Caenorhabditis elegans: one gene and its partners. The protein of the gene in region 3 interacts with the protein of the main gene of each other region in a pairwise test. Each region holds a gene or a part of one and is shown on either strand. Other genes may lie near its edges. The genes, in order: npr-21, chk-1 and nadk-1.

Evidence for each region.
Region 1: the proteins of nadk-1 (region 3) and npr-21 interact in a two-hybrid assay, tested with the Caenorhabditis elegans proteins (one large-scale study listed by BioGRID).
Region 2: the proteins of nadk-1 (region 3) and chk-1 interact in a two-hybrid assay, tested with the Caenorhabditis elegans proteins (one large-scale study listed by BioGRID).

The regions. Positions count from the first base shown.
Region 1 is NC_003284.9:17,151,630-17,162,581, forward strand, and holds npr-21 (G-protein coupled receptors family 1 profile domain-containing protein), read right to left. Parts: upstream 6,340-10,952; 5' UTR 6,329-6,339; coding exon 6,241-6,328; intron 5,651-6,240; coding exon 5,571-5,650; intron 5,520-5,570; coding exon 5,367-5,519; intron 5,315-5,366; coding exon 5,209-5,314; intron 5,157-5,208; coding exon 5,080-5,156; intron 4,843-5,079; coding exon 4,766-4,842; intron 4,714-4,765; coding exon 4,548-4,713; intron 4,122-4,547; coding exon 4,025-4,121; intron 4,011-4,024; exon of another isoform or gene 3,965-4,010; coding exon 3,816-3,964; intron 3,762-3,815; coding exon 3,666-3,761; 3' UTR 3,459-3,665; downstream 1-3,458. Other genes in the region: mdt-1.2 (Mediator of RNA polymerase II transcription subunit 1.2), read left to right, coding at 1-64, 127-260, 965-1,192, 1,257-1,361, 1,405-1,593, 1,641-1,950, 2,240-2,417, 2,464-2,575 and 1 more.
Region 2 is NC_003283.11:3,754,413-3,764,585, forward strand, and holds chk-1 (Serine/threonine-protein kinase chk-1), read right to left. Parts: upstream 5,058-10,173; 5' UTR 5,052-5,057; coding exon 4,568-5,051; intron 4,503-4,567; coding exon 4,289-4,502; intron 4,092-4,288; coding exon 3,858-4,091; intron 3,690-3,857; coding exon 3,527-3,689; intron 3,323-3,526; coding exon 2,906-3,322; 3' UTR 2,741-2,905; downstream 1-2,740. Other genes in the region: gid-7 (CTLH domain-containing protein), read right to left, coding at 1-109, 344-554, 929-1,059, 1,304-1,384; oac-55 (Nose resistant-to-fluoxetine protein N-terminal domain-containing protein), read left to right, coding at 6,727-6,873, 7,127-7,328, 8,161-8,296, 8,347-8,480, 8,531-8,624, 8,681-8,858, 9,792-9,885, 9,933-10,173. UniProt on the Caenorhabditis elegans protein: Serine/threonine-protein kinase which is required for checkpoint-mediated cell cycle arrest and activation of DNA repair in response to the presence of DNA damage or unreplicated DNA.
Region 3 is NC_003282.8:1,453,143-1,463,216, reverse strand, and holds nadk-1 (NAD(+) kinase), read right to left. Parts: upstream 6,143-10,074; 5' UTR 6,134-6,142; coding exon 6,038-6,133; intron 5,991-6,037; coding exon 5,902-5,990; intron 4,995-5,901; coding exon 4,276-4,994; intron 4,063-4,275; coding exon 3,854-4,062; 3' UTR 3,696-3,853; downstream 1-3,695. Other genes in the region: Y77E11A.12 (GRAM domain-containing protein), read left to right, coding at 407-570, 1,000-1,176; col-106 (Nematode cuticle collagen N-terminal domain-containing protein), read left to right, coding at 2,431-3,321.

The DNA of each region.
Region 1 (10,952 bases), on a different chromosome or scaffold from region 3:
CCGGCAAGCCGCATCAAAAATGGAATGGACATCATTCGGGCAGGCTGTGAGGCGAAACTTGTTGGTAACTATTTTCTTTAAACTTATTTATTGTGAAAGACAATTTGAAAAATGCATGAATTGCAGGAAAAACGTAACACAATCGATGCTGATGGTAGAATTGACGTGCTCAACGGGATTGCGTACATGAAAACAAAAATGCCAATCGAGGAAAACAATCTGATGGAGGAGAAGATACGGGTTATGGCTGAGAGTCTTGGGTAAGTTTTCAGTTAGAGAAATGGCGTTAAATTTAGAAAACTGCCATAAAAACCTGGCTTTTTTGGAACCTAGAATTTAACTGCTAAAAATGATAGAGCATTTCCTTGCACCTATTTTTCACATGCATCAAAATGTATAATTTTTGAGTGCTCTTAAGGTAGAATTCATTTGCCGATTGAGCATTAATAACTTGGAAATCTATTTTTCGTAGCACCTGTTGCTTCAAGAAAGAAAAAAATCAAAAAGGAGTAGACCCACATATACTTCAAATTTTCTGAAACACTGTCAAGTTTCATGTTTTCTTGAAGAACCAAAATCAGTTCCACATCGGACCCTAGTTTGTAATAAAAATATTGTACTTGTATCCAAGATTGAGACGCAAACCTGTCAAAAACTAGAAGAGTTTACCGACTGCCAATTGCTAGAAAATAATCGCGTACTAAATATACAAAATTAAGAAAGTGAGCACCTACTCAATTTCTCTGAAATCTTTACACATTATTACATTTCACAAATAAATGAAAGTACTGCACAACATTTGTTTCTCGATAGACTAGTTTCCTTTTAAAAAAATTAGAAACCTGGTACGTTGGAGTCCGACAAAACTTATACATATTCCAACGTTATCCACTTGAAATTTGCCTAGCCATAACTTCTAATCGCTCAAAATTTATTAAAATACATAGCTCACTTTTATTTCCAGATGCTTGCACAAACAAACTTCTCGCGGATGGTCCATCAATCGTCAAGAAGATCTCATCATGGACTTTACTGTCAACGATGGTGAAGTGACAACCGTTGTGCTTAGTTTTTGGGAAGAGCCTTCATTCTACTCCCCAGAAGCTACAAGAATGCTCCAGTTAGGGATGTGGACAGAGCTTCGAAACCGAATCTCAGATATGCTGTTGACGTATGATAAGTTGTTGAGCAGGTATGTTGTTTGACTTTGAGCAAAGCAAAAAATAATGCTTCTAGAACTCACTCCCATTTTTCAGAGACGATCGTAGAAACTGCATGGGAGCTATGAGAATGCTCGAGATGCTTTTTGGACACTTCTCTCAAGACCCTTCCTACACTTCAATTCACAGATCCAACTATGGGTAACTTTATAATTATTTTTTTAATGAAAAATTTTAATTTTAGTTTCTACCTTCCACGTAATGATCTCCGCGCAGGGCGTGTATATTATTTGGCGGAACCACACTTTCGGAACATTCGCTCCAAGGATCATATTTTCCAGTTACAAAAGGATGATCACGAAGTTTTGCCATACTTTGAATTTTCGTTTGCCAAGCATGATAGCCCGTGTACACTTCCAGAGTTTGACACAAAGTGAGTTCATTCACATCTTAATATTATTGAAAATTGTAAATTTCCAGAGGCTGGGCAGAATCTATTGAAGCAAACGCTGTGATTTGTATGAAGCTATCCAGAGGGTTCAATCTTACTGAAACGACTAGAAAGAAGTTGGGAGCAATCAGTGCAAAGACTCCATCCGTTAAGCATTTCACAAATAGCTATCGCTACGTGACTGGAGCGGTGAAGATTGAGAACAACCTGCAGATGATTACACAGTTTGGCGATGGACAAACTCAACACTTCTACAATGTCGATGTGAACCAGTTGCGCAATGATGGTGACTCTGTGATCACTGAGATTTATTTGAAGCATTTGCAAGATTTTCATGAGGTAAGCAGTAGTAACATAGATTGTATTTTAAAAGCGCCAGTTTCATGATTCAATTAGCAAAAACATAAACATTTGAGTATCTTTTTTGTTTTGAGAAAATAAGCATACATGCTAATGCATGCTTTACATAATATGGACACACATTTTGCAACTTTCGGTTTTTTGCCACAGGGAATTATTGAACTTTGTGAGTCCGTTCAAATACTAGAAGTAGAAATATTATTTAAGACATCATTAACATATGTAGTCAGATATTCCACTACTCGATAAAAATAAATTATAATTGCAGATAATTGCAATTCTTCGCAACGAAGCCATGCATATCAGCCTTTGGGAGTCGATGATATCCGCGTGTTATGAGAAGCAGGGTATGAAAAAGCACACGGTTGCCGCAATCAAGATGGACGTTTTTCTGACAAGAGAGCAAATTGTAATCACCTTTGATACAAAATTTGCGCCGGTCAAAGGTGAGTTCTAGATAGATAAAGTGTTTAATATTAAGTAAATTTGCAGTTGTAATCCAGGATAGTGGAGTTTGTGAGGCAAAGGTGAATGTTGTGCATGCACAGACAGGCCTCCAGATTGCTGAAAAGATTGATGAAACATTGAGCAGAAAACTCAATGAGTAAGTTGAAACCGTACACTAACGCAAACGCAGGACTTGTTGCAAAGTTCCTGAGAATGTCAATAGCAGTTTTGGTGCCAACTCTTTGTCCATAGAACATCCTAGAGAAAACATTTGAAAATTTCAGAACTTGGAGCATTCCAAATATGCTTACCTACGCCGTGTCGGGTAGTGACTGCAACTTGGCAAAGATCAAAGTTCCGTTGAGAAGTGAAAACCCGGAGACTGTGGGCCCAATTCCAACTTATGCGGCTGGACGTTCCTTCTAACGGATTTTTGACTTATGATGTGTTTGTATAGTTTTTGTTTTATTATATACTTGAGCCTTATTTGATACTCATTTTGATTGTTGTGAATGTTTGAAATTAAGTTTTATATGCATTTGTATTATTTAAAATTTGCCATCTGAATTTTTCAAAGAGCTGAAAAGCAGAAAAAAATGATTAGAGGTTTTTTGCATGAATACTGAAAGTTGATTACTTAGGGTCAAAAATATCTTTAATAGTCAAACTGGGCAATATTTTCTTTAATTATGTCAATTGTAAGCTTGCTGAAAATATATAAAAGTAGCTCTAGTTGCCCAAAGACCTCGAAAGTTTACCCAAACAACTAAATTTCATAATGAGACTTTTCAAAGTTTTTAAAATATTTTACATTGCAGTTCAAAATTTCAAAAAAAAACTGTTCAATTCAGCTAAAATCTTCAATATTTATGTTTGTATGTGGCACATGGCCGGAAATCAATGTTCATTTAATGATCATTGAAATTTTGACCTTTCTTAAAAAGTTTTAAAACATTTTTGAGAAATCCGATTGCATAATTTTGTAATTTGGGATTAATATAATTTACAAACTCTGTTTAAGCATGAAAACCCAAAAAATTGATTTTTTGACAAATTCATTATTGACAGAAACTATATCCATAATTACGTATATGTTACAAATTTGACAGGAGACTGTTGTGGAAAGAAACGGTGATAGCATTATAAAGTTTTGAAAATCATGGGTGAGATCACAAAAACAGAACGCAATATGTGTGAGAATGTGTGAATAAGTGGGATTAGAATTTTAAAGCATGTATGTACATTTGTTATGAGTGATTATGATATTCGTAACCCGTCTCCAACTCCGAGTTTAACACCTTACGCCGCACTCGTGATGACTGCTCGATGTTGCTTTCACGCACCTGAAAGCTGAATCGAATAGAATGAAAATGTCTTGGCTGGAGAACATTCTTTACCTTTCCAAGATGAAATGTTTCTTTGATGCTTTGACGAAATCTTGTTGAAAGGAATGCGTAGAGGAATGGGTCGACGGCGGCATTAAAGAACAGAAGCAGGAAACTGATGGGTTGGAGTACACTTTGAAGGCAGTTCAAACATCTTGGCGCTGAAAAGTTTGATGTTTATGATCTTGGAACTTGGAGGTTCAGGTGGACGACGTGCTTACCCATCGGATCTCGCCAGACGGTCCACATAAAATATACATATCTCGGGAGTGAGAAGAACGCGAATGCCACGACGATTCCGACTGCCAAACGACCAACCTGAAGTGAAATTGAATGTCAGAAATATATCAACAAAATACTTTTTTGTTGAAAAATGTATGTTTATAAATTTTGTCGATTTTGTAGTTTGTAGTTTGATATTACTTCTGAAAATCTGGAGGCTTTCCTCACAGTGAATGACCCTTTTTTTTTCTGTCCCGTTAATAAATGTTCCAATTTTTGAACTGGTTTTAAACACATGTGCCTAGTCTTTTGATTTATACATGTACTTTTTTAAAAAGCAAGTTTCAAGCTAAATATCAAATGCTGCCCTATACCAAACTTTTGAATAATTCAACAAATTTCAATAACTTTTGGTTTTACCATATGGCTAAGTGTCATCTCTCAGAACTAAACGTTTGAGAAAAAGTGGTTCGACTTGGCACAAACAAACTGTGAACACATGTTCTGAATCTTTAAACAAACCTTTCTCCTCTTCTCCACTGACACACCGCCGGTTGAGGCTTCGGATCGCCAGCTTGATCTTGGCAAAAGCTTGTTGGCGGAGTGTTTCGTGATTGTTGCGGCCTTGCTCACCACGAGGCCGATGGTAGCGTAGATGCAAAGAAGGATTACTAGAGGGACGGCGTACCTGAAAAATTTTAAAAGTCAAAACAAAATATATATAGAGTTGACGAACGCACCAGACGATGAAGTTGATAGTGGCGACTAGCTTCAGGAGGTTGAATCCATAAATTTCCACATGACGTCTAGTGCAGATCTGGAAAAATCTTTATTTCGAGAAAAGGAACTTCTTGAACTAATTTGGTAATACTTCAACTAACAAAAGATCTTTAGAAAATTCTTTTAGAAAAAAAACAATGGCAAAGTTTGCATATTTAGCCATATTGTATCCAAGCGGTTTTAGAATTTTTTTTAAATAATAGTTTTTAGCCTGAATTTTTTCATACTCGGCTGTGGTTAACCTGTATGCAGGCAGGTAGGTGAAGTTACTTACTGTGTATGTCTCATTCCCGTCTGATATCTCTAAAAACTGGCTAGCCACTACATATGGGGTGTTCATAACTGCGCTAGCTGAAATTTAAGAAAACATTTCATTTCCACATTTCTTTTTAAGTCAGCTTACTTAGCCAAACAACAGCTGACGATGTGATGAGCACTTTTTGTGAAAATGCTCTTCGCACCCGCAATGGACGGAGCACCGCAATCAATCTTTCAACCGAGACCAGCACCTGAATATCAAAATGTTGCTTTTCAAAGATTCCCTACGTCATGATTGCCTACCAGAATTCCAGCCGACACATTTGGTATGAAGTGTAGTACGTAGATGTATGAATAACATAACACTTTGCCAAACGGCCACCGTCCATGTCCTTGGAATACAAAATTCACAGCGTTCTGGAGAACGCAGAAGATTCCGACAAAAAGGTCGGCAACCTAGAAATAGATTATTTTCAGAATAGGAGGTGAGTTTTGGAGGAGAGTTACCGTCAGATTTGCCAGAAAGAAGTTGGGCACACTTCGGACTCGTTTCTGCGAGAAGAAGACCAGCAGAATGATAAGATTTCCTGAAAGAATTTATGTTATAGCTTGATGGTAATTTTGTTCAAATTTGCCCATAGCTTAATTTCCTTTTTTAAAATAAATTGTTCAAGTTCTAATAGTTTGTCCTCTACCACTTACTATTAACTACGTACTTCTACCATATAATTTGAACCTAAATGTCGATTATCAGTTTAGTTTCACCAATTATTGCTCACTTCAATGTAATCTAATTATAGCCTACTGTTGATTCTGTCTTCTGATATATTGTCATCTGATATTGGATAACAAATCAAAAATGAATGTCATTGTTTGCTTGGTTGTGTGTTTGCCTAGCTACGAAAACCGTCCTAATGAGAAAATCAAATGAAATTTTGTCGCATTCACGAGTCTGAGTTAGAAGAAATTAGAAAAAAAAACAATTCGATTGTGAAGAAAAGGTGTGAAGCAGAAAATGATCTCTGGGTATGCCGGAGCATGCTTTAGGTTTAGAATGAATTTTGAAAGTGAACATCGAAAAACTTCGAAAAAAAACCATTAATATCTGCAATATTTAATATAATCATTGCAAAATATTTTCAGATATTAAAAATATGAACAAAGATCCTTGGCATACCGATTATAGTGGCCAGAAAGACAAAAAGGTAGGATACACAGAGCAAAAAGTGTACCACAGGATGATTAAGTGGGGAGTCGCTTTCCATTCGTTCTGAAAATATTCTGGTGAAAAAACATTGTAACAGTTTCTAAAAACGTAGAGCAGGTGAAAAGTTTTAAGTGTAAAGTTCGAATTCCAACCACACAAACAGAAATAACACTTTGAGAATAATTGAAAAATGTTGTGACGCAGGGGAGGAGCTAGAGCAACGAAAAAGAAGAATGAAAACGATACTGGATTTTCGGCCCTAAGATTTCAATGAATGATTAAAGATGTGAATGAGATGAAAAAAACGAGAATGAAATGAAAAAAGTTGCAAGACGAGACGGGCAGTTCAAAGAAGAACGCTTGAAGTGTTGTGAAAAGTTCACGAAACACATCTTCTTTTTGCCGTCTAATTTCCTCTTTTACTTTCCAAGTAAAGAAATTCGGGGGAATTCGGAAAAGAATTCGGAGAGAAAAGGAAGTCGGGAAGACACATAGATCAAGTGAATTTTTAAAAAAGCTCAAAGTATCCTAGGTTGACACCCACCACATCATTCTATGAATAGAAGAGCAGGTGGAAATGTTTCAGGGAATAGGAGGAAGAAGTTACGATGTCGTTCAGAGTTGACGATATGCACATAAAGTAGGCGGATGTCGAAAGGTGGAACTCAAAGATCGGAAGTGTACAAAAAGTCAAAAGTGAATAAGCTTTAAAGATAAAACTTGAAGTTGAATGCCAGCGGGATTTTGAAAAGGTTAGTCACCGTAAAATTAATAGTAACTTTCACACTTCATCGAAAAGTTATTTTTCGAATATAACAGGTACTCAAGTTGTAAATCGCGGACTTCCATCGGTGTCGGCTGCGCATTTAGCATAAAACCACACCCACGCAGGTTTACCCCCCAACTGTTGGTTATCTGAGAACATAGATTTAGCTACAAAGGATCACAGGGAATTGTCTGTTCAAGTTCAAATTTTCAAACTCAACCCAACAAAAGTGTTGAATGCTCAATTTTCACAAATTTGAACACATCCATTTTCGGAGTCAATTGCTCAGAAAATTTCTAAGTAATGATGCAACACGGTCCGACAACTACCGTGTTCCGCGCGGCGATGTTGAGAGCAACGCGAAACCTGGGAGTTGTTGGACTCAGACACGTTCGCATTTTTGGAAAATTCAGAGTACCAGAGCGAACATTTTAAACTAAAAGATACTATCCTTGAGCTCAAAGAAAATCTAAGAATTTAAGAAAAAAATTTTAATGAGGGCATTTTCCAAATTTACATATTTGCAAGTCAAACCAAATGGGAGAAAATTACAAGAAAAAAAAATAATATCACAAATTCAAAAAATTTCAAAATCTACAAAGAAAAATTGTTTTCTTCCAGCTCAAATCGCATAAATAATGACGTGAATTTCTATCCCAATTTTGCCAGTCATTACTAACCATTAGACACTTAATACGTGTGAGAACGCGCGCAAAAATGTTCATTTTCACGGGAATTGTTTTCTTGGAAATTTGTAAATCATTAAATGTGAATTTGAAATTTTAAACTAAATGTTTAATGTCGGAAAAATGTTTTTTTCGCAAATGATTAAAAAATTTATTTCGAAATTTTTGAATCAGGCTAGATGCTATGAACAGCCATTATCCTTTTGATTTATGATAAATTCTCAAAAAATCACACTCCAAAATATGAGAACTTTCGAAAAAAAATGGAGACGTGAATGAATTAGCACCTCCTGTTTTTGCCGAGCGTCTGCCTACAAAACCTGGCTTCTTCTTCCCGGTTGTCTAAGAATACCGAGTAATATATTTTGCTTTTCCGATGCTCAATTCAGTATGAATTCTATTACATCTACAACTCAGACATATTTCTGAAAACAAATTGTGGTTTGCAAAAGTAGGGAGCACGAAACTTTGAGCGAGTGCAATAATTGCCACTTCTTGGAAAAGACGGAGAACAAACTCACGGCTAATAGCAACAACAAATATGAATAATCAAATGAGAGAGTGAGATGACCAATGAAACTTCCCGGTAGACGTCTGATAGACATGGCAAAATACGAAACAGTGAGCAGAAACCAGTGTTAATATCCGGACCAGATACGTCATGGCACAAGTGGTAGAAAGGAACTATTAAAAGTCTTTATGTTTATATATCTAGCCTCATCCGGGGGTGTCTAGAAGAGGAGGGACTCTGTCGCCGACGATTGACAGACGTATGGAAAGAGGAAGTACATGACAAACTTGCAAGAAGTATACGGTTAATGTTATTAGACATAGTAAGATGGTGCTTTTGCTAACTTGAACTGCATTGCCATAAATTCGTAAATCTAAAAAATTGATGTTCAACCAAAAACGTGTGGCTGACATTTGATGGGTCCGGACTTACAGAAAACAACGTTTAACTTACTATCAGACTTTTGATGTTAAACTTTTTTACAAATAGAGGACTAAGGTGAATTAAGCAGCCCAGTTTTGTCTAACAAAACATTGTCAGTACGTATTGAAGCGGCTGACATATTACAATCTCATTTGTAACTCAAATTTTAATTTTCTAAAAGCAACTACAATGTATCAGAATTGAAAAAAAAAAAACAAACAGAACAGTTCAAAAGTGCGTGAAAGTTTTGGTAATTTGAACCAAGGCAAATGATGAGTAGGATATTTGAAATGTTGGTACAAATACTTTAATGGAACAAAGATGATGTTTTTGCAGGATTGGTGAATTAAAATGAAAATTTTGAATAACTAATGGTTTTTTGCTTTATTTGCTTTATTTTCGTTTTAGTTTATGTTTGGCAACTCATAAATTCGTTTAATATCCTTATTCGAAAAATTGTTTTATAGAACATTAGAAAAGTGACATGTTTGATATCAATTCAAAATTGCTGGGCAAAATTTGTAATAGTTATCAAAAGTTTTATGTTTTTTTTTGAAAATAGTGTGAACTCATTAGATCGAAAAAGTCTAGAGCTCAATTAAAAATTTAAGGTTCAACAGGGTCAGCATTTCGAAAAAAAATAATTGTTCTTTATACTTTGTCCGTTTTTTTCCTGCTCCCATTCATCCCTATCCCAGAAGTGTAGTTTTATTCAAAATGTCACACACGTAGCAAAAATAGATGAGTGGAAGAGGGAAGCGAGGAAGTGTGTTAACTTTATGGGGCCCCGTTTGCCAATTAAACCGAAAACGTGTGCAATTGAGGTTCTCGTGTTTCGGAAGAAGGGGCGAAACTGAGTAGAGAAAAGTGTCCGCACCACGAGCAAATAGAGACAGTTTGAATGTATAAATGGAAGAAAGGAAAGAGAAGAGACGGTCAAATGGACCGTACTGAAAACAGACAATAGAAAAGTCAAATGCGAGATGAGAATGACCTGCGGTCAATTCATACTTTTTGAACACCCCGAGTGTATAAATGCAACTTTTTCCGTGTATTCTTTGGGCTTTTCAATCTGGTAAATATTTGGTTTTTTGCACATCGAAACAGATGGGGTCTGGGGAAAGGCGAGCATAAAGTTGAACTCTAATTAATATACTTTCAATATACCGAGCAGGAACATGATAGAATTTGGAAGAATGTTCAAATTTTTGTGAATTTTTTGGTCTTTTCAAATTCCGGAATGCTTACATTTTTTTGCACAGCGAAAACAGTAGGGGACTAAGGTACGGTAGCGCAACAATATCAATAGTAAAATGAGCATGAATAGTAATAAAAATATTTTGAAAACTAATGTGTTCTTAGTATGAACATGATGAAGCTCATAACAACAGCATACAATAGTAAAAAAATTCTAAAATTGGAGAGCAGCTCCAAAAATACATATAAAATTGGAAAGGGTCTAGTTTTTACTTAATATCCGATCAGCCCTTTCCGGATCAGTTGAAAACAATAGAAATGAAGTTTGTAAAAATGAAGTGTATTTAAAAATGTGGTAACTTTTCAAGTATAGGTATCCGAATTAATTTTCTGGAACGTCACATTAACAAAAATAACTTGCGAACTTTCTTTCACCAAAAGCTCTACAAGTAAAAACTATACTTCACGTCGTTTTTCAGCTCAATATTTGAATTACATTATTTTAAAGGGGTTTCACAAAATAATTTCCGTTTTGTCGGGCGTGAAAGTGTTCTTAGAGTTTGAAAATGCGGCTTAAAAATGCAGTTTGATAGATTATTACAGCCTTCCACGCATATACTGACCAAACTAAACATTTTCTAGACTCCAAATTGCCAACAGACAATACACTTAAAAACTGTGAATTTTCAAATTTGAAAACCAAACATAAAACTAGCCTATGGAAAAATGTAATTGAACATGAAAAACAAAATCATGCTGGGCATACGCGTGATTAGCAAAAAGTTAAACCGCTATTTTTTAGGTAGTTTTCTATGACGATTTCTAAATTTATGAGAATAGTTTTACTCCGCCACAAATTTGTGTCGGGAAGATTGTAAATCAAACGGAGTGCTGCGACCATTTTGGCGGGTACATCGCAAACTAATTGTGCTGGCAAGCATTTAGAATTTATTATTTGAAAGTTGGATTTTTTTTAATTCTAGCTTGTACCAGCCAAAAAACAAAGCATCATTTCCCTTTCAACATTATGAATCAAGGAATACAATGAATAATTCCAGTCAACACTGTTCAAAAATTCTTGATTCCGATCAGTTCTAGA
Region 2 (10,173 bases), on a different chromosome or scaffold from region 3:
TTCCGAGCAGGACGTCTTTGAAAAAAGTGTCAAAATAATCAAAATGCTCGGAATGATCAAGTATGACGCCTCGTATCATTTTCTGCATTGTGAACAGAGCGTCAAAGTACTGAAATTGAAAATATTTTGGACACACGATGCACCATGTCACGTGGTGTCAAAGTCCCTCAATTCGGCTTGATCTACGTAGATCTACAAAAAATGCGGGAAAAGAGACGCAGAGTTTTCAACTGATTCCGCATGGTTAAGAACGTGCTGACGCCACATTTTTTGGGCAGAAAATTCCCGCATTTTTTGTAGATCAAACCGTACTCTGACACCATGTGCCAAGTCTAGCACGAACCCTTCCTTTCCGAACTAGGTCAGCTAGTTTGAAGCATTTAACAATATATGATCCATGCTTTGCGGTCTCCTCAGTAATGTGATCATTTGAAGTTTCGAGAATTTGAATCGCCGCGTCGTAGTTTCCTTTGAGAATGTTCGCACGGACTCTGGCACCCGACGTTGTTTCAATTGTGAAGCCCGTCTCTTCAACGAGAGTTTCAACAGAGCTTCTGAAAAAATGGGTCAAAAATACGGTAGCCGGTCTCGACACGACATTTTTTGTTTATTGAAAAAAGACATGCGCCTTAAAATTTCGTAATTTCAAAATTCCAAAATTCCACGTGGTGCGAGGCTGTCCCGTTACGGTTTGGTCTACAAAAAATGCGGGATTTTTTGCCCAAAAAAATGTGATGTCAGCACGGTATTAATCATGCGAAATCAGTTGAGAACTCTGCGTCAAGCCGAAATGAGACACTCTGACACCACGTGTGCTTTTTTTACAAAAAACTCTGAAAAATCGATAAAGAAACTTTAAAGGCGCACACCCGTTTTCATTCAACATAAAAAATGTCGTGCCGAGACCCGAAACTGGTCAAAAACTTACGTCAAGCCGATATTATCCAAAAATTGTGCAATAATTCGAATTGTTGCTTTATCATATTTTCCCAACGCGATTTCCTTTCGAATCACCGACTCGGTTTCTTCGGGATCATCTTGAGATCTGGGGGATAGTTGCTGGAAAAAGTGAATTTTTTTGTTGCATTTCAATCGCGGAACATGATGTCAAAAAGTATCATTTCGGCTTGATCTACGTAGATCTACAAAAAATGCGGGAGTTGAGACGCATATTTCTCAACTGATTTCGCATGGTTAAGAACGTGCTGACGTCACATTTTTTGGGGCAAAAAATTCCCGCATTTTTTGTAGATCAAACCATAACGGGACAACCTGACACCACGTGTCGCTGTGAGACCCTTACCGCATGATTCTGCAATCTTTGTGCTACAGACATCTTCTTACCCTTACGACCAACATCGTCAAGTTGCTCGTCGACAGTCATTCTGGAATTTTTTTTTGAAATTTTTGCCAATTTTCGCGCGCCAAGAATACGGTAGCTGGTCTCGACGCGACAATGTTTTGTTTATTGTCAAAAGGTATGCGCCTTTAAAGAGTACTGTAGTCTAAAACTTTAGGTGCCGCGGAATTTTCGATTTGCAAAAATTGATATGTTTGCAATCGTAAAAACTACAAAAAATCGATTGAAATTGAAGGTTTTGTTATCGTAATTTCGCTAGAAGTCGACATGTCCGCTTAAAGGCACCCAGATTTATTCAGATGGGTCTCGGCGCGAAAAGAGTTTTTTAAAAGTTTTTTTTTTTGCGTTTATCAATGAAATTTCTTGGTTTTTAGCGAGTTTTGTCGTTTTTTTTTTAAATTTTCGTAAAATGTTTAGACAAATTTCATAAGTGCTTTTCCTGCTTGTCGGCTTTAACAGAAAAATGAAAGAAAACGCAAAAACTCCAAAAAATTTTTTTTTCGCGCCGAGACCCATCTGAGTGAATCGATGCGCCTTTAAGAATGAATGACAAAATCTTGTGGCATTACAATAAATACAAATGAGTGTGCGCCTTTAAGGAGTACTGTAGCGCTTGTATCGATTTACGGGCCTGAATCAGTTTCGAGAATCGAGCCCGTAAATCGACACACGCGCTACAGTAGTCATATAAAGAATTACTGTAGTTTTCGCTACGAGATATTTTGCGCGTTAAATATGTTGCGCAGTACGCATTCTCAGCATTTTGTGTTCCCGTAATATCGATTTCTCTCAATTGTTCTCATCATTTGTTAAATTTTGGTGTTTAAAAAAAGAATTTAAATACGAAATTTTATCGGAAAACTAAGAAAAATCGATAAGAAAATTCCGTAACCACAGAAGTTTGAAATTACAGTACTCTTTAAAGGCGCACACACACTTTTGCATTAATTTTATAGAAATTTGTCGTGTTGAGACCTGGTACAGTATCGCAAAATCGTCATATTTAGCTTTTTTTAAATTGCAAACCTCTGTCGCTTGGCCGGGACAACGGCTGGCTCGTCAGCCTCTTCTCCGATGGGTTTCCGAACCACTTTGAGTTGTTAAGTGGGAACGACGCGCCACTGATATTTTGAAAACTACAAAAACGAATTCCAGATTTTCCAGTTGAGACCTAATGACAGTAGGGGGTAGAAAAATTCATAAGAATATATTCGTGCGTATTATTTAGTAAGAATTGTCTTGTCTGCTGCAGACACTCTCTCAGCTGACGACTATCGAACGGAGGCGAGGGGCAGCGAGATATTGTGCAAAAGTGAGAGAGGGAAAAGAGAAAGAGGAGGAATGATGAGGCAGTGGGGACAAACTCTAGACGCAGAGATAAAAACAAACATTCATTCACAGGCTTGTAATTCGGCGTTAATTCACGTTAAATTTAAAAATTAATGGGATAGGGAGATGTTTAAAGTGATGATGATGATGATAAATATTGTGCTTTAAATCTCAATAGTCTGATGGAACAAAAAACGAACAAACAAAAAAAAACAATTAGACATCCACATTGATCGAGGACGCCGAGTGCTCCACATTGACTCCACCACCATTAACTATCTGCGGATTTCTTGGCACATATCCAAGATTGGCGAGCCAGTTGTTTCCGTCGGTACATATCCACTCATGCATACGGTTTCTAACGTCCATGAACATCTTCTTAAACTGGATTCCGTCACCGCGAGACCTGCGGAAATCTACCATGACACGTGGCTTGTCGGGAATATCGCCCATCGTGTACAGACTGACCATCATCGAAACCTCGCGCCACGTGACTAGTAGACGGTAGTCGTCAGTCTCACGAACGCCGAAGCCGGCGTGCTCACTGGCTCGAGCCACTTTTTGGTACGTGGAACGGATGTCGGTGACGACGCAGAAACGTGTCATACGGCACACCATTCGTTGGAGGAGATTCTGAAAATTTTAGGGGGATTTAAACTAAATTCTGGGTTTTTTAATCAAAAAAAAAAGTAAATTTAGCAAAAACCTCTAATTTTGCAACCATTTCCGTGTCATTAGCGAATTTTCATCCTAAAATTATCAAAAATGCCAATTTACGACCGAAAAATTGGAGATTTTAGCTAAAAATCCGCCAATTTCTGACGGTTTTTTCCTAACCGAGTTGGTCTGCGACATATCAATATGCTGAGTAAGCAGAAGATCCTCAGTCTTTGTCGGCTGGGAGAACGAAGCATTCTGTCTCTCCGCCAGAGTGCTCTTCTCGTTCGGAGTCTCCAAGTGACGACGTTTCGCGGAGCATTCGGCTTGTTGAGTGCATGTGCTGGAATATATTGAGCATTTTAACATGAAATTGTGATTTTTTTTTAAATTTAAATGGGGTTCTGGCCTTCCTCATTGCATTTTTCGCAACTAAAATCGAGCCGCGACGCGACACGCAACGCGCCGTAAATCTACACCAGATATGGCCGAAGCCATCTATTAAACTCACATATTCTCATCATTGTTGCGAGCGCGTTTCAGTGGCCGCCCGTTCGGTGTCTCGACTTGACCGAAATTGTGCTGATACCACGGATCCGCTTGGATCTGCTCGATTGTCGCGCGCTTGTCCGTCTTGTCGGTGACGATCTTACGAAGCATGCAGAGGGCTCGAACGTCGATCTTCTTCCACGGTCTCTCGTCGAGGCTCGTGTTGCTGATCCATCCCATGTAGGATTGAGAGGCGCTGAAAAAAAACATTCATTTCGTCAAAAATTAGCTAAAATCTCTGATTTTTGGTGTCTCAACGGTCGGAAAATAGTTTTTATTGTTTTTTCTCGTTTATACACATTTTTCGTTGAGAAATTGCCATTTTTAGCCGAAAAATGTGAAATAAACCATCAAAATATGCTAATTTCCGCCAAAAACGCGATGAAAACGCACTCGCTAGCCCGATCCCACGGAAGCTCCCCGGTGAGCATCGCAATGAGCACAATCCCAGACGACCAGACATCGACGGGCGGCCCACGGTACTTCTTTCCGGCGCAGAGCTCTGGAGCAGCGTACGGAATCGTCCCACAGCTCAAATCCAGCAGTCGCTCCTCTCCTTTGTTCCGATAAAGAGTTGCCATGCCGAAATCCGAGATTTTTAAGACATCTGGAAGATTAAATTTGATAATTTAAGCATTTTAAAATTGACAAAAAAAAAAAAAAGATTCTTACGAGTTCCGGTAAGCAGCAAATTTTCCGGCTTAATATCACGATGAACCACATCATTATCGTGAATAAATTTGAGTCCACAGATGAGTTGTTTGAAGTAGAATTGCGCGAAAACCGGCGACATTCCACAATCGGGCTCTATTTTATCGAAAAGCTCTCCGCCGTCCGCATATTCCAGGAAGAGATAGTAAAATTGCGGATCATTTCGCATTCCTATCATTCGAATCACGTTGTCATGGCCGACAGCGGACACACGTTTCTGAAGAAGGTACTCCTTTCGAATGTTGTCTATGAAATCCTTGCTTTTATTGGCGATATTGATTTTTTTCATCGCCGCCGCCACTTCTGGATTCTTGGTGTTGACGATGAGGAGGACTTCGCCGAACGCGCCTTCTCCGAGCGTTTGAACGACTCTGTACAGCGATTCTGGTTGTTGAGGTGCCACTGCTGCTGCTGCTGGCGTAGAAGTCGTGGACGCTGCTGACATTTTCTGCTGAAAAATTGAAAATAAAAAGGATTATTCACCACTGAAACAGGAAAAGTTAAAAAAAATTAAAAGAAACCTTGATTTTTCTGGGTTTTTAGGGTAAAAATTGATAAAAATCGAGAAATATCGTTTTGTTTTACATTTTTTACTGAATAAAACCTGAAATATTTTAGAATTTTGCATCAAGAAAACAAGAAAACCGCAGAAAACGTTGCCGCATTCGAATTTACCGCGCGCAACGACACTCCGAAATCCCGCTCGGAGCCGGAATTTGTGTGGATTTACGGGCAATTTTTTGTCGAAAAAACATGTTTTATATGTTTTTATGTTTTTTAAATAGAATTTTACACTATTGAGATGAATTAAAGGCGAAAAATTATTGAAATGAGGGAAATATGAAAATATAAATAAAATAATATCGACAGAATCATCCGAATCCAAAAAATAGAAAGAACATCAATTTTCTTGTAAATTCCTTGAGCTTTCCGGTGTTTTTTTGGATTTTTCTCTTCAGAAATGACACCGAATTCTCCAGAATTCTCCAGAATTTTACAGTAAAGTTTTTTTTTCTAATTTTCTAGAATTTTTCCAGAACTTCCAGATTTGTCCAGAAGTCTCCAAAAGTTCTACAAAAATTTTTCTGCAGATGATTCCAGAAAGTTCGAAGATTCCAAGATTTTGTTTCTGCTGCAACAAATGGCGTCATCGACTACAAACTACAGAAAAGATACCATTATTTGCAGTTTTGTTGGGCCTACATTTAATGACATTCGGCAACTTTTTTTTGTCGACAAGGTCGACAAATCGGCAAGATGTCGGTTTGCCGATTTGCCGATTTGCCGGAAATTTTCATCATCGGCAAATTGCCGGTTTGCCGATTTGCCGGAAATTTTCAATTCTGGAAATTTGCCGGCTTGCTGATTTGCCGGAAATTTTCAATTCTGGAATATTGCCGGCTTGCCGATTTGCCGGAAATTTTCAATATCGGCAAATTGCCGGATTGCCGATTTGCCCAAACTTTTCATTTTCCGCGGATTGCCGGTTTGCCGGTGTGCCGGAAATTTTCAATTCCGGCCATTTGCCGACTTGCCCGAGATGCCAATTCCGGCAATTTGCCGATTTGCCAGAAACTTAAATTCCGGCAATTTTCCGATTTGCCGATTTGCCGTAAAAACCGTTTTTTCCGGCAAATTCGACATACCCGCAATTTGCCGGTTTATCGATTTGTCGGAAACTTTTAATCCCGACAATTTGCCGATTTGCCGGAAATTTCAATTCCGGCAATTTGCCTGTTTGCCGATTTGCCACAAATTTTCATTTTCTGCAAAATGCCGGTTTGCCTATTTGCCGTTAAAAACCGTTTATCCATCAAATTCGGCAACTCGGCAATTTGCCGGTTTGCAGATTTGCCGGAAATTTGCCGGCTTGCCGGAAATTTTGATTTTCGGCAATTTGCCAATTTGCCGGAAATTCCAATTCCGGCAATTTGCCGGTTTGCCGGTTTGCCGGATTGTCGGAAAAAATCGTTTGCCTTATCTATCGAAAAAACAAGATTTCTGATTTTCAGTGTTGATTCCCATGTTTTTGTGTTATTTTACCATTTCATTGTAACTTTTTAAAATGATAACCGTACGTAATAACACTGATAAGATGAGTTTAGAATATTCAATTCATAATGCACAAAATGTTACGTGCCATTTTTCTAGTCTTCATAATTTTCGCTAATCTACAATGCAGTTCTGGTATCGAATTCGATCCACATAAGGCTATGGAGCTGCTCGGCGAGCTGATCGCTCACCCGATAGAGGTTATGGAGCAGCTGGTGGGTTTCTGGATACTTTGGGTCTCGCAACGATTTGGCACTTTTGTCAAATCAAGAGTGTTCTACGTTTTCCACGTGGTGGTGTCAAAGTGTCCCATTTTGGTTTTATCTTTGAGAAATGCGGAAGAAGAGACACAGACTGTGTGCTGACGTCACACTTTCCTGTGGAAAAATTCCCGCATTTTTTTGGAGATCAAACCGTTATGGGACAGCCTGACACCTTTGGGTCTCGCAACGATCTGACATTTTCCAGGAAAAATACAAAACCAGCGATCTAATCGCTGCCCTCGGTATTCACTCAAATGCGAATTATTCAATTTCTCAAGAATGTCACGAAGAGCTTTCATTTTTGGGTTACGGTGTAATCGATGCGGCACGATATGCCCGGCATCACAGTACGGCGGCGGTCCCAGCATCAATGACCGATCAGGAACGGAAGGATTACCTTATTCCCAGTGAGATATTTTTTTTCAAATGTGGGTCCTGACACGATCCAAATTTTTTACTCTGAATGACAGAAAATAGACCGTAATCACCAAATGTAACAAACGTAAAAAATTTTCGAAGTATTTTCTAAATTTTTTCTGATTTTTTTTCCACTTTTGCCAAATTAAAAGAAATTAGATGTTAGGCTCCGCCCACTCATGTAGCGTCTCAAATTGGAGTACATGGTCTCAAAGTGTCTTATTTTGGCTTGATCTACGTAGATCTACAAAAAATGCGGCAGAGTTATCAACTGATTTCGCATGGTTAAGAACGTGATGACGTCACATTATTTTGGGCAAAAAGTTCTCGCATTTTTTGTAGATCAAATCGTAATGGGACAACATGACGCCACGTAACTGGAGCACAAATAAAATTTGAAAAAAAAACAGTTAAACTTGCCAGAAAACACGTATATATCCAAAAAGTGGGCGGAGCCTAACATCTCATTTAATTTATTTTGGCAAAATTGAAAAATCATTTTAAAAATTTAGAAAAAAGTTTTAAAAGATTAAAAAAATTACAACAGTAACTTTTTTATTAGTTTTCTCAAAAAATAGTATTTTGTTTTGGGCCAAACATTTTTTCCTTAAAAAGCGCCCGAAAATGCTCGGTGTTCAGTAGAGCGCATTTGCACATATATTCTTCGCCAAACCGGCAAATCGGCGAATTGCCGGAATTTAAAATTTCCCGCAATTTCTAAGAAAATGAGAAAACTAGTTGAACATTGTTTAAAAGAGATGTATTATAGCTAAACATTTAAGTTTCAAACGAAATTTTGACTTAAAATTTTCAAATTTCCAGTGATGGACGCTGCCGGTAAACTGGGATCCGGCATCGTTAGAGGCCATATTCTAAGCACCGGCGCTTTTTCGGAATGCAAATCCATTCAGATGTTCTCCTCGAGTTTAAATCGAACTGTCCAGGGAGATTATTACAGGTACCTACATATTTCCTGTTTTTGCAACTTGTGCGGCAAAATCCAACTAGTTCCAGAATCTTATTCGATATGAAAATGCGCCCCAACTCGTTCAATAGCTCGTGTAACCTCCCGCAAATTGGAGTAGATCTCTGCTTACCCTGGTCTTGTCGAAATGAGGATCTTACGGGGTATTTTAGAGAAGGTTCGTAAAAATGGCACAGGCTGTAAAAAAGTAATAGCAAAAGTTTACAGCCCTGGGGCCCAGTAAAGCCTTGTCTCCAGTGTGCAGTGTACGGAATGTTAATCAGAGAGTTCCAGTAATTTCGTTGGGAACATGGATAGTTTTGTAAGTTCAGGAAAAAAATTTATCCAGTTTTAACTTTCATAGAAATTAACTTCCAGACTCATTTTATCATTGATTGTGGGTCTCTGCATTTTATCAGGATTTTCCGATATTTTTCAAAAATTCCAATTGAACGACAAAACGAGGAAGGAGGAGGGTTTTGGTTGGAAGTTATTCAGCGCATTCTCATTTCATCGAAATTTGAAGGAGATTTTCAACACGAAGAATTGTCATAAGGTAGGGTCAGATTTTATGGTGCTACGACAGTGCTGGTCCCATTGATCTACGAGAATTACGGGAATTCAGGCTCTGATTTCTGATTTCGCGTGCTGACGTCTCATTTTTCTGTGCGAAAAATTTCCCAATTTTTTGTAGATCAAACCCCATTATGGTACATTGGTTTATGCACGTGGTGTCGGAGTGTTCCATTTCGGTTTGATCTACTTCCCTCATATTTTGAAATGCAATAATTTGCGGAATTAGGCGATTTTTGCTCGGCCAGGGTCGATTTACGGCGCTTCGCTTATAAAACTAAAAGTACTTGCCAGTGTGGAGTGCAATTGCCGTTCGGCAAATCGGCAATTTGTCGGATTGTCGATTTGCCGGAAATTTCGATTTTAGGCAAGTTGCCGGTTTGCCAATTTGCCGGAAATTTTGATTACTGGCAAATTGCCGATTTGCCGAACATCAATTTGCCGGAAGTTTTTAGAGGAATTTTTTATGAGACGGAACCTCTTCAAACTGTGCCTTTTTAAAATTTTTCCCGTTTTCTTTAGATAATTTCATAGAATTTGCTTACTTTTCAAAATAGATTTAGGATCATTTATAGGATACGCACAATTTTTACGATCAAAAGTTAAATTCTGAAATTTTCAAAAAAAAGTGCAAAAACACAATTCCCAAAAATGTTCTGCAATTGCCGTTTTTCCGACAAATCGGCAAATCAATAATTTGTCGGTTTGCTGACTTGCCGGAAAACTTCATTTCAGGCAATTAGCCGATTTGCCGGAAATGTTCAGTTCTGGCAAATTGCCGATTTGCCTGAAATGTTCAATCCCTGCAATTTGCCGATTTGCTTGAAATGTTCAAATCTGACAATTTGCCGATTTGCCGAAACTTAATGCTATTACGAAGACTAGAACCCGGACACTGCAATTAATAAATTTCCAGGAAGGCCAAGTAACTTCGCTCAATTGCATTCGGGTCATTTCAACATTTTGGGTAATCTTCGGACATTGCTCAGAGATCACTTTCATGGTTATCAGTAAGCCTTCAATTCACCAAAGCTCGAGACTATTGGTAATCTTTCAGCAAACCCCATAGATCTATACGACTTCACCAAGGATACCTATACGGGAACCCTAATCTCAAATGCTTACTTCTCGGTGGACACCTTCTTCTTCATTTCGGCCTTCTTGCTCTCATTTCTCTGGTTCAAACAACTAGAGAAACAGTGGAACGCGCTACTTTCTCCAGGTGGATGGCTGATGTTTTACGTGCACCGAATTGCTCGTCTGAGCCCGGTGTACTATGTCACAATCTTGTTCTTCAC
Region 3 (10,074 bases):
TAGAAAGTGAGTACTTCCAAAGTGTTCTAGCTCCACAGGCAGCTGAAATATGAAAAACTTTTCAATTAAAAAGTTATTATTGTAAAAATATGTTTTCCTAATTGTAATTATGTACTTTCTTGCCAAATGTGATGCTTTCGAAAACTAAGTCCGTTTTCCGCCAGTTTTTCATCGAATAGCGGCTCGGGCCTTCGCCAAAGCCATGTACCGTTTTCGCGAAATAGCGGCCCGTCACCCGATGAATATTCGCATGACGCGGTTTACCTGTGCGTGTCCTCGGTAGTGGTGAGTATCCGCGTCTGTGGTGAGTATCCGCGTCTGTCACATGCGAGACCCGGGTTCAATTCCCGGCCGGGGAGAAACTTTTTCGAAAAACTTACAGTAAAATTTTAATTTATTTTTTCAGTCCGCAGTTGTGTGATGAACGAGAAGGAGCGCGTTTTCCCGATGGGAATCACTCCCGGCATACTGTACCTGACAGATGCTGCTCTGGTGTTTCGACCTCGAAATCATACAGACGACAAAGAGCAGCTTATGATGCTTTTTCACGATCTCAAGTTGGTTAAGAAGGTGAGTAAAGGCTTTAAGAAGACAAGTAGGCACTTATACAATTAGTATATACGTAGGCAAACAGGTGGGCATGTAGTCCTGAAATAGGCAGGTAGACAAGAAGTAGGCACATAGGAAGTTATTCATGTAGGCAGGTTTGTAGGCAGGTAGGCCTGAAACATGCACATAGTCATGTTTGCCTAAATAAGGCGCAGGCGCCGACAGCCGAGGATTATTTCTCAGTCGGCTGTCGGCTGGTGCTACCAGCCGAAAAATCCCAAACTTTCGGCTGTCGGCTGGCTGCGCCAGCCGACAGCCGCACAGCCCTGATAGGCAGGAAGGAGGCTGGCCAGAAAGGCTCGTAGGCATGTAAATGAGCAGACAAGTAGGCTCGTAGGCATGTAGGTAGGCAGGCATGAATTCACGAGGGAAAACCTAACCATTTTCCAGACCCAATCGCTCCGTTCAATGTCACTGATCACGGGAACACGAAAAAGCCTTGAAATTCACGTGGAAGGCCGTCGCAAGCCGGTCCAATTCATAGGACTCGCCAAACGCGACGATTTCGTCACTCGGATACAGCTCATGTGCAGAAATGCGTCGGCTGCTGTGGAATTTGCTGAATAACCTTATTTTTATTTTGTTGTACATGTGATTCTAGTCCTCCAACGTCGTCCATAACTTGTAAACTGCGCTCCGATGTTCCAAATGATTGTGAAAATGCTTATTTTGATTATGTACGGGTTTGAAAATGAAGAATTTCTCTGTTTTTTCGACATTTTTTGATAGAATCCTTAATATCCATTTTTATAACCAGGTAAGTGTCGGCTGCTAAACTTCTTCAGATGTTTTTTTTCCACCCGGAAAGTGTCGGTTACTCAGCCTCTGGTAATTTGCTGGTTCTGTCTACGCGCACGTCAAATGCCAGCTGCTTAATGACTGGGGATGTCTCTTCCACTAGAACAGATGTCGGCTGCTCTGTGATATCCCGCTAGGTGTCGGCCGCTATAATCTCTGAAAAAATAAACTCAACCCGCCAAGTGTCGGCTGTTACCTGTTGCTGTAAACGTTTATTTGAATATCTACCCGGCAAAAGTCGACCTGCGTGATCTCAGGAGAGGCCAACCGTTTGCTATAGACCCTTTAAGTGTCGGCCGCTACTAGCACCAGAGATGCCGTTCTATCAAAACCCGCAAGGTGTCAGCTGCTTAGTCCTTAAAGATGTTAAACAATCCCGGCAGTTGTCTGCTGCAAACCCTTTAGAGATATCGAAGCATAAAGTGCCAGGCACCTCCATGAATTAAGCGGCCACAATTATTCCGGACACATAAAACGGCCGACATATCCCTGGATCCATCACGCGCTGTATAATGACCCGAAAGGTGTCGGATGCTTCGGGGATTCCAAACCCTAGTGCATCCCCATCTGGAGCTCACTTCAGTGCACCATGACCACCAGAAAACGAGGAAGTCGATGCACCATGAGTAGATTGCCTTGGATTTTAGAGATCCATGAAGTTTCCAGAACTAAGTAAACTAATTTTAAATTTCTGCGTGTTATACAAATGCCCAATGAAAAATTGAAAAATTCTTCTATTCGCTAACAATGAAATTTGTTCCAATCAATCCAACTTCCCCTTCTCTTTCTGTTCTCTTATCACGGTTACAGCAAGACATTTTTTGCGTATAGGTTCCCCATGGAAACCGTCTTGAAACCGGTTCTTATCATGGATTCGCAGTAAAGAGGCGGAACTTCTGGGGGTTAGTATATAATGGCACCTGATAAGAATGGAATTGGCAAAACTTTCCGACTTTTACTTTTCCTCGCAAACAATTAACTTTGATTCAGTACAATTTTTGATTCCTTACCATTTCATTTCAGATGGGCGCCTTCGGGACATTAGCATGTGCTTCCGCTACGGTCCTCACAATCGGATCCTTGGCAACGATGTGCCTTATCGTTTCCGACATCAATGGGCTTTACAACGACGTGATGGAAGAGTCCCGAACAACTCGTGAGGTTGCTGATGACGCCTGGGAGGAGCTGCTCCGCAAGAACGGAGCCCCTGAAGCTTCCCGTGCCGCTGTGACCGCCATGCTATTCGGAAGAAATAAGAGAAACGCTCAGTGTAACTGTGGAGCCAAGAGCAAGGGATGCCCAGCAGGACCACCTGGACCACGTGGACCAAATGGTGCTCCAGGACTTGACGGACCAGATGGGCTTGATGGACCTGATGGACATCCTGGATATGCTGCGGCAATCAAGGAGAATTTTGGAGGAGCTTGCATCTCTTGCCCAGCAGGACCAGCTGGACCACCAGGGCCAGATGGTTGTGCAGGAGAGCCGGGAACCGATGGCGCCCCAGGAGAAGACGGACAGAATGGAGCACCAGGATCCCCAGGAGGACCAGGAGAGACCGGACCACAAGGACATCAAGGAAAGCCTGGAAGAGCCGGACCACGAGGACCACCGGGAGCCAAGGGACAAACCTACCTTCCAGGATCAGCAGGACATCCAGGAAACAGTGGACGTCGTGGACCACCTGGACCACCGGGAGCCAATGGAAAGAACGGAAAGCAGGGAGCCGATGGAATTCCAGGCGCCGGAGGAGCACCAGGACAACACGGAGTTCCTGGAGTCGATGGATCCGATGGAGCACCGGGAGAGGATGCCGCGCCAGGTGGAGACGCTGCCTACTGTCCATGCCCAACGAGATCGGTGGCTGTCGAGGCAGCGCCATCGCAGGCAGAGCAGATCTACAAGACTCATTAGAGAGCTTTTTAATAAAGAATGTCGCATTTCAAATGGTTTTTGTGGTTTTTTTAGTTTCTGGGGTTGCGAAATGACTTCAGCTTGTATGGTTTCAGATTTTTCATATCAGATTATCAGCACTGAACGAGGTCTCAGCACAGGGAGTCTCGCCACAATGGGTCTTACCACGAAGGGTCTCACTGCAATGGGTCTCACCACGGAGGGTCTGGCCTCGATGGGTCCCGCTACGATAGGTCTCGCCACGATAGATCGCACTGCGGGGATCTCACCACGGGGGGTCTCACCACGACAAAGGATCTCGCAACGATGGATCTCTGAAATTTTGAGAAAATGTGCATTTGAAGCACATTTTTGAGACCATTTTATACAGTTATGAAAAAGTAATGAATTTATTTTTTTTTAATTTCAAATTTCAAATTGATGTATCACATAAAATCGTATAAAATCTATGTACAATTACGAATTCATAATTCACAAAAAAAACGACAACCCGAAAACCCGTACAATAAAAACAATACACACAAAATCATTGTTACACAATCACAGTTTTCAAAGCATCATTCGGATTGACCTCGATCGTGGCGACGGCGCCACGTGGGAACGGGATCTTTGTGGATCCGTCAAGGACCAGGTATCCGTTGGTGCATCGGGATTCGAGTTTGATCTTTCTGGCGAATCCGCGGGTCGCCGTGCGTTTGTAGGTGGCGTTGAAGATCGGCTCACGGATTGAGAAGGCGAAACCTGGAAAGTTAAAAGTGAAAGTGAGATAATGAGAAATTCTCAAATTTGAGTTTTCTGAAGCCTGACGATGAGGCCAGCCATGGGGTCCTTTTCTCAGTCCTTTTCCATGTCTGTGCAGGGTCTTATATTTGGAATTGTGTAATCAAAAATACCCCTGACATTTTGTTTCCAACTCAACAAACCCAAATTCCAATCAACTTTCAAAAAACTCACTAGGATGATCTGGCTCGAACGGGATCTTCTCATTCACCGAATTCACCACCTTCTCCACCAAATTCCTTGTGATCGGCACATCCACGCCAAGTGATTGCAGTGCCTCCAACACTGACGTCGTCGCATTCTCATCGATCCTGTTCATTCCGAGGTACCAACTCGTCGATCCGGTCCCAGTCGACACAATCAACCCGGAGGACTTTTGCTTGACTGTCTGCGAATCGTCGATGGAAATATTGTAGGTTGAGACTTTGGCGGCTTCATCCTCTCCGATGAACACCTCGTTCAGGGCGAGGTTTGTTGATTTTTCAGACCTCTTCAATGAGAAAATCGAGTTCCGGGATTCCTTTACTGTTACCCGTATCCTCGTCCTCTGCACCCACTTCAAGTTTCCAGAGACCAGACGCTCGATCAAATCGCGAGGTGGATTCTTGCCACCGACACACAGGTGTCCTTCACTTCCGATCGGGTCAGTGTTGATACCGATGATTGGGGTGTTGTCGTTGACCACGGAAGCTGCAGCCAAGAAGGTTCCATCACCACCGGCAGAGATCACCAGATCAGCTTCAGGCAGGTACTGGGCTAGCTGCTCGCGAGTCACAACTTTTGTGGAGATGCCTGCTTTGCCAAGTTCGGAGACAATTTCCTGCACTGCGTTTACTTGTTTCTTCTCGTTTTCGAGGAGCTCTTGAACCTTGGTGCCTTTTGAGGAGAGGTGCCTGAAAAGATTTAGTAGCTGGGAATATAGCCTGATAGACATTTTTACATTCAAATGAGGTCAGTAGACTTTTGTCAATTGCAGACACCATGGGAAAAATACACAGTTTCGGTTTTTAGCCTAAATATAATTTTCCAAATTTCTGTATGATAGGATATAGGTGAAGCAAAACATGGTGCATCGACCGGACACCTTATACATATTTTATATAGTGTTAATGTTATTAAAATTAAATTCAGGAAACAACCTATTGAATATGAACTTTAAGACATGGTGCATCGACCGAAAATTATCTTCTTTGGTAGCTCATATCTCTGTCTGTTTTAGCGTTATCAAAAAGTTGCTCACAGGCGAAATATGAAATATATGTTTTTCTACTATTTTGTAATAACAATTGTTTGAGTACCTAAAAGATGAACAAAGCTACAAGCTTTAGAAGTGGCTTGAGACATGGTGCATCGACCGGAACCAGCTTTGATAGCTTATATCTCATTTGGCTTTGGGTTTATCGAAAAGTTGCTTTCTGACAAAATATTTAAATATTTGATTTTCTACAGTTTTGTAGTTAAAAATTTTTTACTTTTTACTACCTATAAAATGAACAAAGATATGGACTCTGAATGTGGAGGAAGACATGGACATACATTATTGCAGTTTCAATTTTTTAGTATCTAAAAGATGAACAAAGTTACAAGCTTTAGAAATGGCGTGAGACATGGTGCAATGACTAGAACCAGCTTCCACAGTTTTTATCTCGTTGTATTTGGTTTTAAAAGAAAACTGTCAACTAATAAAATTATTTTTAGCTATGTGCCTATAGTATCTTAAAAATGAACAAAGATATGAGCTTTCAAAGTGGAGATGCAAAACGTGATGCATCGACGAGCAGCTTTGGTTGTAAAACTCACTTTTTCAGATCAGCATCGCTCAAGCCCGTCTGCTCCTTCTCCCATTGCCATCGTGTGCTCTTTCGAAGGATCAACGCAAACCGGATCGCCTAAAAATTTGCTCCAAAACAAGGCTTAAAATCGAAATTTGGCTCACCGGCTGCTGTCTGCTTCCGCTCGGTTTTCCTTGTGTTACCGGAGAAACTGGGCGCGCCACGTGGCTCACGCAGTGAGAAATTGCCAAAGCGGCCATGATGGACGGCTGGAATTATAAATTATTAGAAATTGGAAATGGATATTTAATGGAATCAAAAAAGAGAGAGAGAAAAGGTTAAAATATGATAGAAAAGCTTATCAGTTAGTTTTTTTTTCAGCCGCCTCATCACACACGAAAAGTCATTCGAGAATTCGCCAAAAAATCAACACAAATGGCACCATTATTTTCAAATTTCCAAAATTTCAAAATTTCAAAAATTTTTCCCGATTTATAAATAAACGGGGCTCCGCCTTCCGAACGTCTGGGCGCCGCCCACCGTTCCGGTAGGCTACAACAATAGAAATTGTGTGGGAGGTGGTGGTTTGTTCCCCTCGTGCTCAGATGTGCTCGCAATGTTTGATTTTTGAGGAGAAATTGAAAGTTGAGAATTGAGAATTGACACAAAGTAAATAAATGGTGTTGAAATGATACTTGACGCCATGATGGAATTTTTTGGAAAAAATGGTGTTTTGATCGGCTGGAGTATAAGGAGTATAAGTTTAAGCTGTGATATCTCTACGAGTAGAGGAGTTATCAAAAATATGCCAACTAATAAAATATAGAACTTTAAAAGTTGCGTATTTTCGTAGTTGGCAACTTTTTAATGGAGTTCACCTCCGCGGAGTTACAGACGCCTGGAGGTTCAGTGGTGAAGGGTGAGCAGTAGTGTCGAAGACTAGAAATCGTTGTAATTTGTTGGAAAGTGGATTTATCAAAAAACTGTTAAACTAGCAATTTATTTATCACATAAAACTGTACATTTTTGTAATTTGCAACTTTTTCATAACAGTAACCTCCGTTTAGTTACAGGCGCCTAAAGTTTGGTGGTGAAGCGGCAAGGGAGCCGATGAAGAGAGCTACTGAAATTTCTGCCCTTGTATCTCCTCGGAGAATAAATTTATCCTAAAATTGTTAACTAACAAATTATTTACCACATAAAACTGAACATTTTTGTAATTGTGAACTTTTTCATAAAACTACCCTCCGCTGAGTTACAGGAGCATAAAGGTTTAGTGGTGAGAAGTAGGGTGCCAATGGCTGAAGCTAGCACCCTCCGTATCTTGTCGAATAGTTGATTTGTCGCAAAATTGTTCATTAAAAGATTATTTACCACATAAAACTGAACATTTTTGTAATTTTCATCTTTTTCATAGCATTAACCTCCGCTGAGTTATAGCCGCCTTAAAAAAACACTACATGCTCAAGTTAACAACTGTTGAATAACTTTTACTTCGAAGGAGTTAAAAGGAGTTAAAAGTAAAAATACGTTATGAGAATTTGATTTTAAAAGGCTGCGGGATTCAGCTTGTGCTAAAACCTCTATACCTCGTCGAAAAGTAAATTTATCACAAAATTGTTAAATTACAAAATATTCATCTCATAAAACTATAAATGCAACCGAACGCATTTTTTGATACCACTCACTTCCACTGAGTAACGGGCGCCAAACCGTTCAATAAACAGTGCAAATGCTTTCTAACAGTCTGCGCCTCCACTGATTCCATTATATTTTTTTCTTCGGCAATTAAAAAAAAAGAAAAATGACCGTTTTCTATGCTGGGAGAACCAAAGAGAATTCGTTGAAAATCAATTTTCAAAACAAAAACAGCGGCGATGATTTCGAAACATACGATGTGACCAATGACCAAAAACTATAGAGCACGGGAGACCACAAAATTTTGTGTCCGACTAGAGAAATGGGTGAGAATGGGGGAAATTCGGAGTTTTTTATTAAGAAAATAGTAAAAATTCGAGTTTTAAATCTAGTAACTCATGAAGAAGTCTTATCAAAAAGGCTGCACAAATTACGCGATTGCTCTCCGCTCTTCTTGAGAACCAAAGAACCAAAGAACGCGTGAATGATTCAAAAGGGGGTATTTAAAGGCACATGCACACCGCCGAGACACAAAGAGACACAGTGTGAGTGTGCGCGTAGCCATGATGACAAATGGCTAGATTGCGACCTGACCCTTCTAAATTTTGTGCCCTGGGCTTCAGCAGGGCTTTATGGAAGTGATCATTGTGATATTGTAATACATTGTGACCACACAAAACTGAACAGCTTTGAGGGCTTATATCTTTGCTACTTTAAAATACAACAAGAAAAGTTTAACTGCAATGTTACAGAAAAAGATTTGAAAAATATTTTAGTAGTTGACAAAATTATGATAACCCCCTAGACAACTGAGATATCGATGCACCATGCTTTGCAAATCAACCACAGGAGCCTATATCTCTGCTATTTTCGAAGATATTGAAAAACTTCTAACTAGAAAAATGCTTGATATTTGGTTAGTTGACAAAATTTTGATCAGACCACAGGCAAGCGAAATTAATGCTAAGCGAGGTTTTTCTGGTCGATGCACCATGACTTGCAGCAAAGTTAATTTTGAAAATATTTAAAATTCAACTATTTACATATAGAAGTTTTTGAAATTCTTTCAAGCCATCTAAAAATACATTTAACTCCACGTCGTTTTGCCATGTGACCCTTCTTCCGGTGGTCACCTTGCTCAAAACAATAATATTTGCTCATTTATCTATTTATTGTCCACAATAATCCCACCGGTTCCAACACAGTACATATATTTATTTAAATGATGTGTCCTTTTGCCAAACCCCCGGTCTCACCTGATGTTGTCATCATCGTTATCACTGTACACATTTTTATGACCGCGTCTTGTTTAGAACGACCAAAATACACGTGAATGACACGTGGCTGACTACAAACTACAAAACAAGCACTAATTGACTACTGTCACTTTTTTGGGCACATCTTGTCTGATGTTTAGAGAGAAATACAAAATAGTTAAAAAGTTGTTATTTTGTGGTCTATAAGATCTAACATACAATTTTTCGAGTTGAATGAATATGGAATTTGAGTTCGAATTTGTCAAATTCGGTTAATACAATTAATTTCAACCAAATAATTTAAATTTTTGGGATGGAACTACAAAATAAATTGAATAAATTGTAAAACATGGTGCATCCACCGAAAAGGCTCTTGATAGGTCTTCTGTGTAGGCGTTAAAACGCCTACCTGTCTGGCCTTAAGGCGGATCTCCGCCTGACTCTCGCCTCAATACGCGCCTTATGCTAAAACATACCTAAATTTTTTTTTCCTTTCACAATTTGATTTTCAAAACAATAATGATAGAAATCAGAAAGTTTGCTATTTGAAAACTCACTCCAAGAGGCAGAAAAGAGGCAAAGCATTTTTCAGGCAGGCGTCAGGTCCTGAGACCGCGCCTGCGTACCATGGAAGCTTTAGCTCTGGGAATTAAGAATTAAAGGAAAATACTAAATTATCAACAAAAAAAAACGATTTCGAAAAGGTGAATTGCATCAAGAAGAACTGCGGAATAGATTTGCGCGCGGCGTGCTTGTCAACGAAAATCGCATCAAATCAATGATGACGAAGTGCGTATAGTCCCCCTGGAAAATCTTATCAAATCAATCACACACGCATCACATAGCGACTAGTTTTTTTGGTCGATTTGAAAAATATTTGAAAGTATAGGGTGGAGATTTTTGGTTCAAACTAAGTTCGTGTTGGCACAGTGACCTCCAAGACAGTTTTTGAAATTGGGTGATAGATTTTTGTCTAAGAAAATAATTATCTAGTATTTTTCTAAATTAGAAAATTTTCAAATATCTTCAAACTGAATTGAGATACAGCAGGCACAGTGCGGGGCTGCAAGACATGGTGCGCAACAAAAACTTTTGAAAGCTTATATTTCGATTGCCGTTGGTGATGTCAAAAAGTTGCTAACTAACATTATTTCCCACATTTAATTTTCTATAACTTTGCATTTTAAAAATGTCTGATACATAAACTTTAAACCAAGATATAAGCTGTTTAGCAAGATGGCAAGACATGGTGCATCGAAGGATTTTTGCCTCTCTGAATTTTGGCAGCTCGTATGTCAATTATTATC